Linked DNA regions of Xenopus tropicalis. The protein of the gene in region 1 interacts with the protein of each later gene in a pairwise test. Links are inferred from orthologs where the notes say so. Each region holds a gene or a part of one and is shown in the gene's direction. Other genes may lie near its edges.

Region 1 (4,384 bases):
GCCCTATGGGAGACTTTCCTTGGGCCAGGTTGGAGCTGCAGAGTGCCATTGAGCCCTATGGGAGACTTTCCTTGGGCCGGGTTGGAGCAGCAGAGTGCCATTGAGTCCTATGGTAGGCTTCCGAAATCATGCACCGAAGGTTCAGTCAGAAAGTTTTTCACGCCATTTATGATTGTTAAGATACGAAAATTTCATAACTTTCGGATCATATCACAATACAAATTTTCGCGCAATTAACTCACATCAGAAATTATCACATTTAACCCGAATTTTTCCAAAACATACTTTACATTAATTTAAATTCGGACTTTAATAAATCTGCCCCCAAGTGTACAAATTCATTTAAACCTTTTATTTAGTTTTTTTCTCTGAACAGTGTTTTATTGCCCTGTTTGCAAGCTTATTACCCTGCATAATTACTTTTTACATTTTATATTGATGATTTTATTGCATTTTTAATGGTTTTATTTAATTTTTAGTGTATCAGTGCTGCCAACACAGTGTTAATTAGAATTAACTGTGCCCACATTAATGTGTGCAGTTTAGGTTTGCATGAATTATTGTTAGTCAATAAAAATACAAAACCCACAAAAGAATAAAGTATTTTACGCAGGAATATTTTTTTGGGGGGGGGTTATGTAGAAGCCATCAGAGGGAACCACTTACCATCACAAATACCTACACAGCAAAAGCAGAACTCCACTGCAGAAAATCTAATAATGTTCTGCATTTAATAATCCCCGCTGAGGCAGAACAACATAGATTTGAACTTTCTCCAGTTTTCAGAAATCAATAATGTACATAAACTAGGTTAAATGATACCGATGTTGGGCTGGAGCTACAATGCTTTGCGCAGTTTGCACACATTACGATACCTCGTTTTAGCAAACACGCTTAACATTTTATCAGCACAACTTCATTGCTAGAGGTACTGCACCATCCAGCTTCTCTTCCCTGCATCACGTACAGCACACAGAACGTCACCCACTGACCGCAAGGGAGGAGGTCTTAGCAATCTGCCCGTGCAGGGGCTGCTCCGGAAACCCCGTACTGTTCAGGGACCGAAACCCTACACAATATGCTGCAATATCTTTCCGCGGAGAGCACAGACGACTCATCGACAAAAAAATAGTACCTATACCACAAAATAACATAAGAGTACAAAATATTGTCGTACGAGAATAAATAATAAAATAATCTCTACCGCTTTTGGGTTGTAATCCTGAATAGTATGAGACTTGCACGCATTAGTCAATAAAATCGTCTTTTTACTGGTGTTCGTCCGCGGTTCGGAATGTAGTCCCAGTTGTATAAATCGGACGTGGTAGCTTTCCAAGTCCTTTTCAGTTGAGCTCTGAAGTGCGGTGTGGATCATGTCAGGCGGTTCTGCGGATTATACTAGGTAACTGTTTTGCACAAGTTATTGAACGAGGATTTTTAGGTAGCCCTAAAAGAGGGAGTGGGTGGTAGAGACTATAACATTTAGTGGCAATATATATTTGTTAGGGGCTGAGTGTAAGGCCTTCTTGGTCGGCTTTACACGCGGGCTTCTTCAGGGCTCTGCGAATTCCCGGAATCTTGTGCCAAATGCTGCAGGGTGTTGTAGTTGGGTAGTAACTAGAAGCGGTATGGCGAGGTGTTCCTGACCGTAATGATGCCCTGCTCTGCACATGAGTAAGCTTTGGGAATGCGGCTATGTCTTTTGGTTGCGGACCTACGCACAATTTTAGAGCGAAACGGTTTGGATTCACCTAAGGGCTGTGGCTCTCATCCGCAGGGTGGGGAGGGGGGGAAGATGGCGCCGGCAGAACATGGCGCCATGAATTGTGAGCACTGTGCGAAGGGCGCAAGAGCTTGGCTGTATGCTTCGCTACGGTTACTAATTAATTTGATAGGTAATTGTTATCCTGTGATAGATATATACTTTATTGGGTACAGATGTTAAGTAAGCAACTGTCCCATCACTGTTAAATGTAAGCAGGATACTGTAGCAGCTGCAACATCTTGTTATGCCTGTTAAATGAATGTAACTGCAGCAGCTGCCTTCTTTAGGCTGTGTGCCTCTTATACATCAACTTGTATATATGCATGTGCCAATATAGCTGCTGCTCTGTAGCTTGGGTGGTGGTGTATGTCCGTTTGCTTAAGGCAAAGACATGACTTGAAGTGCACTTGTGTTATTCTTCTCAGAGACCATGGAGGCCCTGATGGTATGGACCCCGATGGTGTCATTGAGGTGAGCATAATGCTTATTTCTCCTTTTATGTTAAATTCTGCTTCTCACTGATAAATAACTGGTTAACTTGCCATTGCAGAGCAACTGGAATGAAATTGTTGACAATTTTGATGACATGAATCTTAAAGAATCTCTTCTGAGAGGCATTTATGCTTATGGTTTTGAAAAACCATCAGCCATACAACAAAGGGCAATCATTCCCTGTATCAAAGGTAAGAAAAGTTCACATCTGAGTAGGTAGAATAAAAAGCTTCCCTTAATACAAGTGAGATGATGGCATACCATCTTTCGGGACTGAGTTGATGTGAAGAGTTTTTCTGTTTTGCTGATCACTTGTATATTATGTGACTAATAGTTAAAGTGCCAAAATAAAATGTGGGAACATTGAATGTGTATCCTACTTTTTTTAGGGTATGATGTGATTGCTCAAGCTCAGTCAGGTACTGGCAAGACAGCCACATTTGCTATTTCCATCCTGCAGCAGCTGGAGATTGATCTCAAGGAGACCCAAGCTCTAGTATTGGCCCCTACAAGAGAACTCGCTCAACAGGTATTGATAGGCTAGTATGTGCTGCACAGGCTTCAGTTTAATAACTAAACACACTAGCGAACGCTTAATGATAAAATACTGAATATCTAAAGGGAAACTATCTGTTTCTTTAACTGATGTAGCTAGTGGTGCATAAATTTGTTGCAGTATTATGGCAGGGAAATTAAGTTAAACCTAAAGCAAAGTGTTTTCATTTAACCGTACTGCTGATTATCACTAATAAGCCGCCATACTGTGTCCACCCCCCGTTTTTGTGTAGTAGTAGTATAATGAGCAGTGTTCTTAAATGTCATTATCTGTGCTACTTACTTATTAAAATATACTAGTAAGTAACTTCACAGCAAAGGATTTTTTTTAACTCTTCTTCCTACCATTATGGTGTTTACTTTAGTGTTCTTAGGCCCTTGGGTTATAATGACTAAAGGCATGATCTAAGCAGTCATGTATCTGGCTATTTAAAATATCCTTAAGGCTGCAGTTGCCAACAATGGCAGACTGGTCCAAAAGGCCAGGCGACACCTGATTTAATATTGCTTCCTAAGGGGCATACTAATTTGAAACCATAGTGACCTTTGTAGTAAGACTTGCACATTTGTTTAATGTGCTAAATAGGTGTGGGTAAATGTGTATATAAAGTCTCTAAGAAACATGGCTTTCTGTGGGAAGATTACCCAGCCTCCATTAAAGAATGTTTTACTCCATTGATTAACTGTAATCTAATGAAGCTAATGAAGATGTGCTAAACTAAATTAGTGCATTAGCCCATAGCAACCATTTGGCAGTGACCATTTTCTAACAAATTAGAACATCAGATCTATTTGCTGACTGGCTTCTATGGCTAATCGCACTGATGTGGTTTGAACAGCTAGCAGATCCTTAGGGCCACATTTACTAGTCTGTGCTGAAGTGCTGTACCTGGCTTCTTGAGTTGGTTAGGCCTAGAATTCATGAACCTTTGTAATATGGCTTGAACATACTACACATGCATTAAGGGTGTGGTTTGCCAGCCAAGCTGATGGCATCAACCATATTTGAACTGTTCTACGACAAGGGCTTTGGAGTGCAGTACTTATGCGTATCATTTTAGAATCAAACATGACTTTTTTTTTTTTTTTTTATAAAAATTCTTGTATCCCTGTCAGCAATTACTAACCATGCACTCTACTCTCCCTTTCACAAAAGACTTTAATGAAGCCCCACAGCAATTATTTTTACAGTACTTTAAATCCTCTTTAAAGACCCTTAGATTATTATTTGTGCACCTCTTTCTACATATTAAAATATTGACTTAAGTGTCCTGTAGTGTAGCATATCTGCACTGTAAGTTCCTCCTGTGGCATGGAAAAGCTTTTAATCTTTGTGCATATTTGACATATAGCCTATTTTCTGGTACATATGCACAGGACAATCTATGCAGCTCTGGAATTAATGTTGACGCAACATATTCATTATGGCTTTTAAACTCAAATTACAGAATGTGGTAGTTTCCCTTTAAAGGACTCCTTCCCCACAAACTCCTGTATGAAAATGCAGTTTTAAGAATTTTAAAATCCTTTTGTTTTAAATGTAGTCTTGTTTATACCTTTATGTTATCAGGT
Region 2 (4,546 bases), on another chromosome or scaffold:
TGTGGCATTGCGCAAGAGGTATGTATGTATGTATAACTTTATTTATAAAGCGCCACAAGGGTACGCAGCGATGTACAATCTTACAAAATTACACACAGGGAGGACAAGTGTTATAATAAATACAATAAATAAGTACAAAATACACAAGGAATAAGTGCCATGTGGTATGAGACACAGTAGGAAGGCAGTCCCTGCCCCATAGAGCTTACAATCTAAGTAGGTGAGTTTGTTATATACAACACGCCAGTACAGATAACAATATTGTGCATCTTGCGGTTCCTAAACATAACTACCCCCAGCCAGGGCTAAGGGCTCTGGCACACGGGGAGATTAGTCGCCCGCAACAAATCTCCCTTGTCACGGGTGACTAATCTCCCCAAGTTGCCATGACCTGCCTCACGAGTCTTTTTTGGCGATATCGGGAAATCGTGCCGCCGCGTGTGCCATCCCGCCGGCGACTTACATGTTCGCCGGTGGGATGGCAGGTCATGGCAACTCGGGGAGATTAGTCGCCCGTGACAAGGGAGATTAGTCGCCCGCAGCAAAACTCCCTGTTCGCGGGCGACTAATCTCCCCGAGTTGCCTACCCCTGCCATCCCACCGGCGAACATGTAAGTCGCCGGCGGGATGGCAGACACGGCGGCGCGATTTCGCGCAAATTTCGTCGCGATTTCGCGACTTACATGTTCGCCGGTGGGATGGCAGGTCATGGCAACTCGGGGAGATTAGTCGCCCGCGAACAGGGAGTTTTGCCGCGGGCGACTAATCTCCCCGTGTGCCAGAGCCCTAAGGGCTCTGGCACACGGGGGAGATTAGTCGCCCGCGATAAAACTCCCTGCTCGCGGGCGACTAATCTCCCCGAGTTGCCTACCCCTGCTGGCGGGATGGCAGACGCGGCGGGGCAATTTCAGGGAATCGCCGAAAAAGACTCGCGATTTGCGCGAAATCGCGCCGCCGCGTCTGCCATCCCGCCGGCGACTTACATGTTCGCCGGTGGGATGGCAGGGGTAGGCAACTCGGGGAGATTAGTCGCCCGCGAACAGGGAGTTTTATCGCGGGCGACTAATCTCCCCCGTGTGCCAGAGCCCTAAAGAAGCACTTCTTTTATCACAAGTAGGATAAAGATAACATAACGTGTCCCAGTTTGTGCAGAGAAACAGGAGGAGGAGCTTGGGCAGGTCTCCTTGTCACTCACAGTTATGACACCTTCCTGCGGGAGAGTGAGAGGACACGCCCAGCCGTCAGTACAGCCTACACACGGGTCTCCCTTCAGCTCTGATAAACAGGCTTTGGAGCCCATATACCGGACACCGCTAAAGCGGCAGTGAGGACAGCCTGCATTTATATTCCAGTATGAAACCTTTAACCTGCTCTAAAGCCCTGACAACCTGCTAGCAAATTCAGCAACCCAATTCTAAACGTAGATTTATATTACTAATCATCCCCCCCCCCCTCTCTCTACGTCCAAGTGGTATGTGCTGACTTCTAGTTTCCTGCGAGCCGAGCGAGTCGGTGCGGTGCAGGTAAGCGCGCAGGGTTGTGTACCATGGCGCATTCACATTCATTGTTTCCGTGCTGCTCTCAGTCTCCTTTATGTGAGGCAGCCCCCAGCACCACATGTGGCTAGAGCAGTGCCAGCTTCCTGAATTAAAGATGGATTCCGAGCCCACAACTGCATTTTTGTCGAGTTTAACAGGAGGAATGCAAGGTATGCACCATGGAGGAAGGTGCCTGCTATTTGCAGCATGGTGACAGGGGTGTGCTGTATAGGCAAATGCAGGCTGGCTGAGCCTAGGGGCAATGGCACACAGGGGGTTTGTTGTCTCTGGGAAAGAAAATCCCAGTTCCCCTTAGGCCAAACATGGCAGCACATTGGAATCACCACATGTTTGTCAGCTAATTCAGCAATCACACAAACTGCTGCTTTCTGTATATTCACATGATAACCTCATTCAACTGAGCTGCACACAGCAACACAAAGCCCCACGGCCCCATTGCCATAATCATGACATCATGCTTTCTCTTTACTAAATGCCTTGTATGTGTTGTATGTGGCCTTCAATAAAACAATATGAGCGAACTGTTGATATCAGAACATTTGTATTCTGGTTTATTTTCAACTTTTAAACACGTTTTAGTAGGTTTTAAGCATAGTCTTCTGAATTAAAGGAACAGTAACACCAAAACATTAAAGAGTTTTAAAGTAAATGAAATATAATGCACTGTTGCCCTGCACTGGTAAAAGTTGTGTGTTTGCTACAGTAACACTACTATAATTTATATAATAAGCTGCTGTGTAGCCATGGGGGCAGCCATTCAAGCTGGAAAAAAGGAGAAAAGGCACAGGTTACATAGCAGATAACGGATAAGCTCTGTAGAATACAATCGTGTTTTATCTGTTATCTACTAAGTGCCTGTGCCTTTTCTCCTTTGAATGACTGCCCCCATGGCTACACAGCTGCATTCTTTATATAAACCATAGTAGTGTTTCTGAGGCAAAACACCAGTTGTACCAGTGCAGGGCAGCAGTACATTATATTGGAATTTCTTTCATACACTTGAATTTTTTTGGTGTTACTGTTCCTTTAAGAAAGAATCCCTGGAAAGCTTGGTCCCAAGAATTCTCCCAAGTTCTTCCAAACGCTTTTTACGGTTTAAACAGTTCACCAAATAGGAAAATTTTTCATTGCTTTATATATATATATATATATGTGTATTCTCTGCCCTGGTAACTCTGCCTTGTGAATCACTGTAACACAAGCAGCAGACTGACAGACCTGACTTGCTGGAGGAGATTGACCTTTGAAACATTGTTTAAAAAGTAACAACCAGGAGTTAACTAAATGCTGCTTTCAATAGCAGTTACATTCACAAATAACTTTTGAAGCACTAACATTTTTGTTTATAAATTCATATTAGAAAGTTGCTTAGAACTATGTTTTCTTTTATTAGGCAAAATATATTTTTTGGGTTGACATGCTCTTTAAGGGTGAGAGCACACAGGACATATGGTCCGCTTCTCTCGGCCTGCATTTGGTAGGCAGGTTTTGATAAGCAGATCTGATTTATACGCTTCTGTGTGTAGTTGCACTGATAGTGATAGCATAGGCCTGATTGCTGCTAGACAGAGCAGTGATTGGTCAGAAAAACACGACAGCAGGCATTTTCAGGCCAGTCTCTGCGCCGTGTAGCTGCATTAAGGCCGATGCTGTGTCTGTCAGTGCAGCTACTCACAGAAGTGTTTAGAGCAGATCTGCTTCTCTCTGCCTGGCCCAATGCAGGCAGAAAGAAGCAGACTATACATGCTTTAAGAGGGGCCTAAATGAGTTCTTGAACAATCAGAATATCCAAGGCTATTGTGATACTAATATCTACAGTTAGTACTAGTGGTTGTATTTATAGTTTATGTATGTGAGTGTATAGATTGGTAGGTGTGGGTAAGGTGTGCTGGGTTTACTTGGATGGGTTGAACTTGATGGACACTGGTCTTTTTTTAACCCTATGTAACTATGTGTGCCCTCTCCCTAATATTCAAGTCTCAAGTGCTACAGTCTGGTATCTCAGTAATCCAGGTTACTCTGAACTGTTATAGTTTGCTACATGAATTGATAGATTTCTCAGCAGAACATGTGAAACATTAGTAACTACTGTATTAATTCTAGCAGCTGCCTTTAATAAAATGTAGGCCCTGGACATATAGAGCATTTCTTCTGCTTCTCTCAGGTGAGAGAAGCAGATCTATTCCCTTACGCAGCTCTGTTTACCTACACTAAAAGTACAACTTTTGCTTGAGTGCAGGTACATGGAGCGGAGTGGAGACTGGACCGAAAATGCCTGCTTTTGCCGCTTTTGTTGCCAGCAGAGGGGCCGATTCTCTGCCTGTGTTTTTCCACAGGCCGAAAATCAGTTTTGTGTGGCATCAGCAATAAGCTGGCCATATGTGCACTGATAAAATCGTACGAAACGCAGTTTCATAAATATTTCGGACCTTGTGTGGGATCCGAATTATCATCCCGATAATTTGTGTACCATGGCAATCCCAGGTTAGAAAATTTTGCTCGGAAAATTATAAAATCTGTGCATGTATTTATTACCTGACGATATCCTTGGGGGACCTGCAATGCATTTCCAGTAAGTCACTTTTGTACGATTGGTGTCTGCCAACTATTTCATGTTCAGAACATCCTCCGATTTGTTATTTTTAGGGCTTTATCCTACAATTTCGCCTGCCCTAAACATTAATATTAGAAAAACACTCAAATATTGAAAAAAGAAAAGTAGAAAGCAAATGAAAAAAAAAAACATTTATGGTGTACAGGAAAAGACATTTTGTGTTTACAATTGTAGCAGTATATTCTTTCATTAGGTAAAAGCTTAAAGGAAAACTATACCCCAGAATGAATACATAACCAATGACCTATTAAAGAATCTTACCAAACTGGAATATATATATCAGTAAATATTGCCCTTTTACATCCCTTCCCTTGAGCCGCCATTTAGTGATGGGCTCTGTGCCTAGCATGTACTGTATGTGTGCTATGGCTTG
Region 3 (4,565 bases), on another chromosome or scaffold:
CTGGGGGGGCTGTTTGTGCCTCTGGGTACTGGGAATGCCAGGGGGGCTGTAAGGTGCCACAGACAGTCACTATTTATTGGGCTGGGGGGGCTGTTTGTGCCTCTGGGTACTGGGAATGCCAGGGGGGCTGTAAGGTGCCACAGTCACTATTTATTGGGCTGGGGGGGCTGTTTGTGCCTCTGGGTACTGGGAATGCCGGGGGGGCTGTAAGGTGCCACAGACAGTCACTATTTATTGGGCTGGGGGGGCTGTTTGTGCCTCTGGGTACTGGGAATGCCAGGGGGGCTGTAAGGTGCCACAGACAGTCACTATTTATTGGGCTGGGGGGGGCTGTTTGTGCCTCTGGGTACTGGGAATGCCAGGGGGGCTGTAAGGTGCCACAGACAGTCACTATTTATTGGGCTGGGGGGGGGCTGTTTGTGCCTCTGGGTACTGGGAATGCCAGGGGGGCTGTAAGGTGCCACAGACAGTGACTATTTATTGGGCTGGGGGGGCTGTTTGTGCCTCTGGGTACTGGGAATGCCAGGGGGGCTGTAAGGTGCCACAGACAGTCACTATTTATTGGGCTGGGGGGGCTGTTTGTGCCTCTGGGTACTGGGAATGCCAGGGGGGCTGTAAGGTGCCACAGACAGTCACTATTTATTGGTCTGGGGGGGCTGTTTGTGCCTCTGGGTACTGGGAATGCCGGGGGGGCTGTAAGGTGCCACAGACAGTCACTATTTATTGGGCTGGGGGGCTGTTTGTGCCTCTGGGTACTGGGAATGTCGGGGGGCTGTAAGGTCACTCTTTATTGGGCTCATATGCCCACCTACGGGTGGCAAGCCGATGCAGCCCCTGATCCATGGAAAAATAAAGCCTGCTCAATAGAGATCTGGACGGTTTCAGGCCATATGTTGGTTGGGGAGGCCCGTCGTTGGTGCCCATATACAGGCAGATAAGCTGGTAAATCGGTCTAAAGAGCCAACTTTTAGATATATTTTCCAGGATCCCTGGGCCTGGGTCACATTTAATTGCCTAAATGAATAGACAGAGCCCCCCCCCCCCCCCCGCTAATTGCATTCTATCTCTTTTGGTTGTGCAGGCCACTAATGAGGTGCACTTGCCCTTGGTGACAATTCCCAGTGGACTTTACAGTTTAAGCCTGAAAGGGTCACTATTTATTGGGCTGGGGTACGGGGGGGGGGGGCTGGGGGGGCTATATTTAACCCCAGTTCGTACCTGATAATTACAATTAAATCATGTTTTTAAAAACTTTGTAACCCTTTTGACATTATGTAAAGTTTCAGTAATTACATTCTACCCCCACTGGGCTATTACCAGACACTGCTGAACGCGAAGCCCGGCTGGGAGCCAGTAAATAACATGTAGCGGGAAGAGACTCCCCAGTGAGGATAATATAGTATATAAGGCTGAGGCTGAGAATGAATCCGACACACAGGACTCGCCCCTAAACCCAATAACACAAAATGGCCGCTCCCACTTTCCTCGCCTCAGACAAATATCCCGCCCTAGCCCCTGACGTGCGCATAGATTATTTCGCCCCTCCTCCTACAGCCGCATGCCCCGCCCTCCAAGGTTCTTATTGGTGTTCGTCCCGCACACCTTACATCTCCTGCCAATGCAAAAAAGCCACGCCCGCCGCACATGTGACGGTGTTACTGGGCAGACGCGCTGAGGTGAGGTACGGGAGGGCGGAGGGATCAAAACATAAACAGCCACAGAAGAGCACGCAGGCGGAAGGGAGAGAGACCTGTGTGTTACATCTGCGGCCCGGGGTAATGTCAGGCGTGTAATGTCTCTGGGGAGGCTTGGCGGCTCCCGTGTGTGCGCGGTGTAGCGATTAGTGTCATGTTTACTGCTTGTGGGAGACGGGGTCCGGCTTGTGTTTGTTTGGGGGGGGCGTGTCCTGTGTGTGTAGGAGCGGGACATTATTATTATTAACTTGTAATTATAAAGCGCAACAGAAACGTATCTTCTCTTTTAAAAGTTTGGGTCCTGGGGGGACGTGTCCTGCCCCCTGTATGCGGGGAGTAAGGGTTAAATATAGTGTTGGGGGGGCGTGTCCTGCCCCCTGTATGCGGGGAGTAAGGGTTAAATATAGTGTTGGGGGGGGTCGGTTAATTGCCCCGTCCTGTCGGAGTTGGGGTTTGTGCCCTGTATGAGGGCGGTGGAGAGGCCTATCTTTTGGAGGGGGTGTGGCCTGTCCCACCTATAGGGGTAAGGGGGCGTTTCCATTCTATTTGTAGGGCTTGTTGGGCAGGGTAAGGGGTGTGGCATGTAGTTAGGGGTGTGTCCTATATGTGGGGAATTAGGGTGATTGTCCTGCTGTTGGGGGTGCAGGGGGGGGGGGGGTGCAGATTGTCCTTTCTCCATTGGGTAAGGAGGGGAGAGTCATACTCTGTGCATGGTGGGGGAGGGGCTGGGGGTGTGTCATTGTATGTGGCAGTGGATTTGGGGGTTCCTGGGGGTCTCCTGCATGTTACGTAACATTAAGGACCAATCCTAATTTTTTTGGGGGGGGGGTGCGGTTTATTCTACAAGTCATGGGGCTAGGAGGGTGCCGTGTCTCCTTAGGGTGCAACTGGGCTACCGGAGTGCCATTGCCTCCTGCTATACCACTTGGCACTCTGTATAGAATTGCTGTGAGAGTGACTGCCACCTGTTCTTAAAAACATAAATACCAGCCTTCCTGTATGTAAATCTAATTAATAGATTAATACCATGGGCAAATAGTATTGCTTGTACTGGCAAGCCACTAATTACTGTCCAGGCGGCAGCCCTAGCCCTAGGGGCCCGTCCCACCGCTGCATCCTCTGTATGTGAGGGAATGGGCAGTTGCAAGCCTTTAACAGGCACAACATTGTTATATTGTTATAAACATTCACCCAAATTGCACCGGTTGTTTCATCTTTCTTTAGCTTGTGTTTTATTAAGGTTTGCTCATAGATTTTGAGATCTAAGTGTTTTATAAACTTAGCATTCATTTCCTGCTGCAAACATGCTGTGTCAGTAGCATCGTCCAGATCACTGGCTCGTGTTTAAAAGGAATATTGTCTTGGGAAGACATGTTTGTTACAAAACCCATCAGTTAATAGAGCTTCTCCAGCAGAATCCTGCATTGTAATCTGTTTTTCCCATGGGGCTAGCCATATTCTTAATTTCCCAGAGTGCCACAGCCATGTGACCTGTGCTCTGATAAACTTCAGGCACACTTTACTGCTGCGCAGCAAGTTGGAGTGATATCCCCCCCCCTCACCCCCAGCAGCCGATCAGCAGAACAATGGGAGGGGAGCAAGATAGCAGCTCCCAGTAGGTATCAGAATAGCACTCAATAGTAAGAAATCCAAGTCCGGCTTGGGACTCCTCCAGTTACATGGGAGTAGGAGAAACAATAGGTTAGCTGAAAGCAGTTCTAATGTGTAGCGCTGGCTCCTGCTGAAAGCTCAGACTCAGGCACACTTTACTGCTGCGCTGCAAGTTGGAGTGATATCCCCCAGCAGCCGATCAGCAGAACAATGGGAAGGGAGCAAGATAGCAGCTCCCAGTAGGTATCAGAATAGCACTCAATAGTAAGAAATCCAAGTCCGGCTTGGGACTCCTCCAGTTACATGGGAGTAGGAGAAACAATAGGTTAGCTGAAAGCAGTTCTAATGTGTAGCGCTGGCTGAAAGCTCAGACTCAGGCACAAGGCACTGAGATGGCGCCTACACACCAATATTACAGCTACAAATACATTTGTTGGTACAAGAATAAAAGTTTAAATGGCAGAGGGAATTATTTGCTGTGTAACAGTGTCATTTGAAAATAAAAAGTGCCCCATAAATATCATGGCAGTGTCCCTTTAAATAGATGTTTTGCTGGAGTACTTTGCCTTTACACTGCGTGTTCCTTCCTTCCTTTTATATTGTGTGTGAAATAGTTCAGCCGTGTCTCTGTTGTGCATCACTCATTGTACAGATACTTGTGATACGTTGGCGCTGGTGTGTAGCCGCTCTAGCATGGGCTAAAGTAATGTAGTGTTGTTGGTTTGATGCAGTGAGCGGCAGAGAAAGGGATATATAACTGCATTGTGTGATTGCGGCTCTGTTCTGTTTCCTTTGTGTTTGTCACAGCAGCAAAAATAATACAACAAATACCTGATTGTTCCTTTGCACTTTGCCTGTTGTTTACATAAGTGTAAGTTATGATACATGAACGTTCAAAATGATGGATTTTCTTAAAAAGATAAACTGGGAACCCATGGGGTGCCCCCATGTCCAGCAACAGCTTCAAGGGGATGTCCACCTTTGAGTTAACTTTTAGTATGATGTAGAGAGTGATATTCTGAGACAATTTGCAATTGGTCTTCATTTTTTATTTGTAGGTTTTTTTGACATTTTCAGTTCAGCAGCTCTCTAGTTTGGAGTTTCAGCAGCTATTTGGTTGCTAGGGTCCAAGTTACCTTAGCAGCCAGGAAGTGGTTTGGAAGAGAGGCTGATATATGAATAGGGGAGGGGCTGAATAGCAAAGAAAGTTACAACAAGTAACAGTAAAACTGGAGCCTCACAGAGCAATAGTTTTTGGCT

The links.
Region 2: the proteins of eif4a2 (region 1) and E3 ubiquitin-protein ligase TRIM39 interact in binary tests that used the Homo sapiens proteins (3 or more experiments, as listed by UniProt). The two-hybrid records come from large-scale screens. The link is inferred for Xenopus tropicalis from reciprocal best matches to the Homo sapiens genes EIF4A2 and TRIM39.
Region 3: the proteins of eif4a2 (region 1) and pdcd4 interact in binary tests that used the Homo sapiens proteins (3 or more experiments, as listed by UniProt). The two-hybrid records come from large-scale screens. The link is inferred for Xenopus tropicalis from reciprocal best matches to the Homo sapiens genes EIF4A2 and PDCD4.

What each region holds. Positions count from the first base shown.
Region 1 is NC_030681.2:105,926,134-105,930,517, reverse strand, and holds the start of eif4a2 (eukaryotic initiation factor 4A-II), read left to right. Parts: upstream 1-1,347; 5' UTR 1,348-1,373; coding exon of another isoform or gene 1,374-1,402; intron 1,403-2,190; coding exon of another isoform or gene 2,191-2,236; intron 2,237-2,315; coding exon of another isoform or gene 2,316-2,385; coding exon 2,386-2,448; intron 2,449-2,499; exon of another isoform or gene 2,500-2,571; intron 2,572-2,646; coding exon of another isoform or gene 2,647-2,786; intron 2,787-4,384. UniProt on the Homo sapiens protein: ATP-dependent RNA helicase which is a subunit of the eIF4F complex involved in cap recognition and is required for mRNA binding to ribosome.
Region 2 is NC_030678.2:143,271,491-143,276,036, forward strand, and holds the start of E3 ubiquitin-protein ligase TRIM39, read left to right. Parts: upstream 1-1,529; 5' UTR 1,530-1,617; coding exon 1,618-1,708; intron 1,709-4,546.
Region 3 is NC_030683.2:2,657,433-2,661,997, reverse strand, and holds the start of pdcd4 (programmed cell death protein 4), read left to right. Parts: upstream 1-1,597; 5' UTR 1,598-1,676; exon of another isoform or gene 1,677-1,681; intron 1,682-1,687; exon of another isoform or gene 1,688-1,775; intron 1,776-4,565. UniProt on the Homo sapiens protein: Inhibits translation initiation and cap-dependent translation. May excert its function by hindering the interaction between EIF4A1 and EIF4G. Inhibits the helicase activity of EIF4A. Modulates the activation of JUN kinase.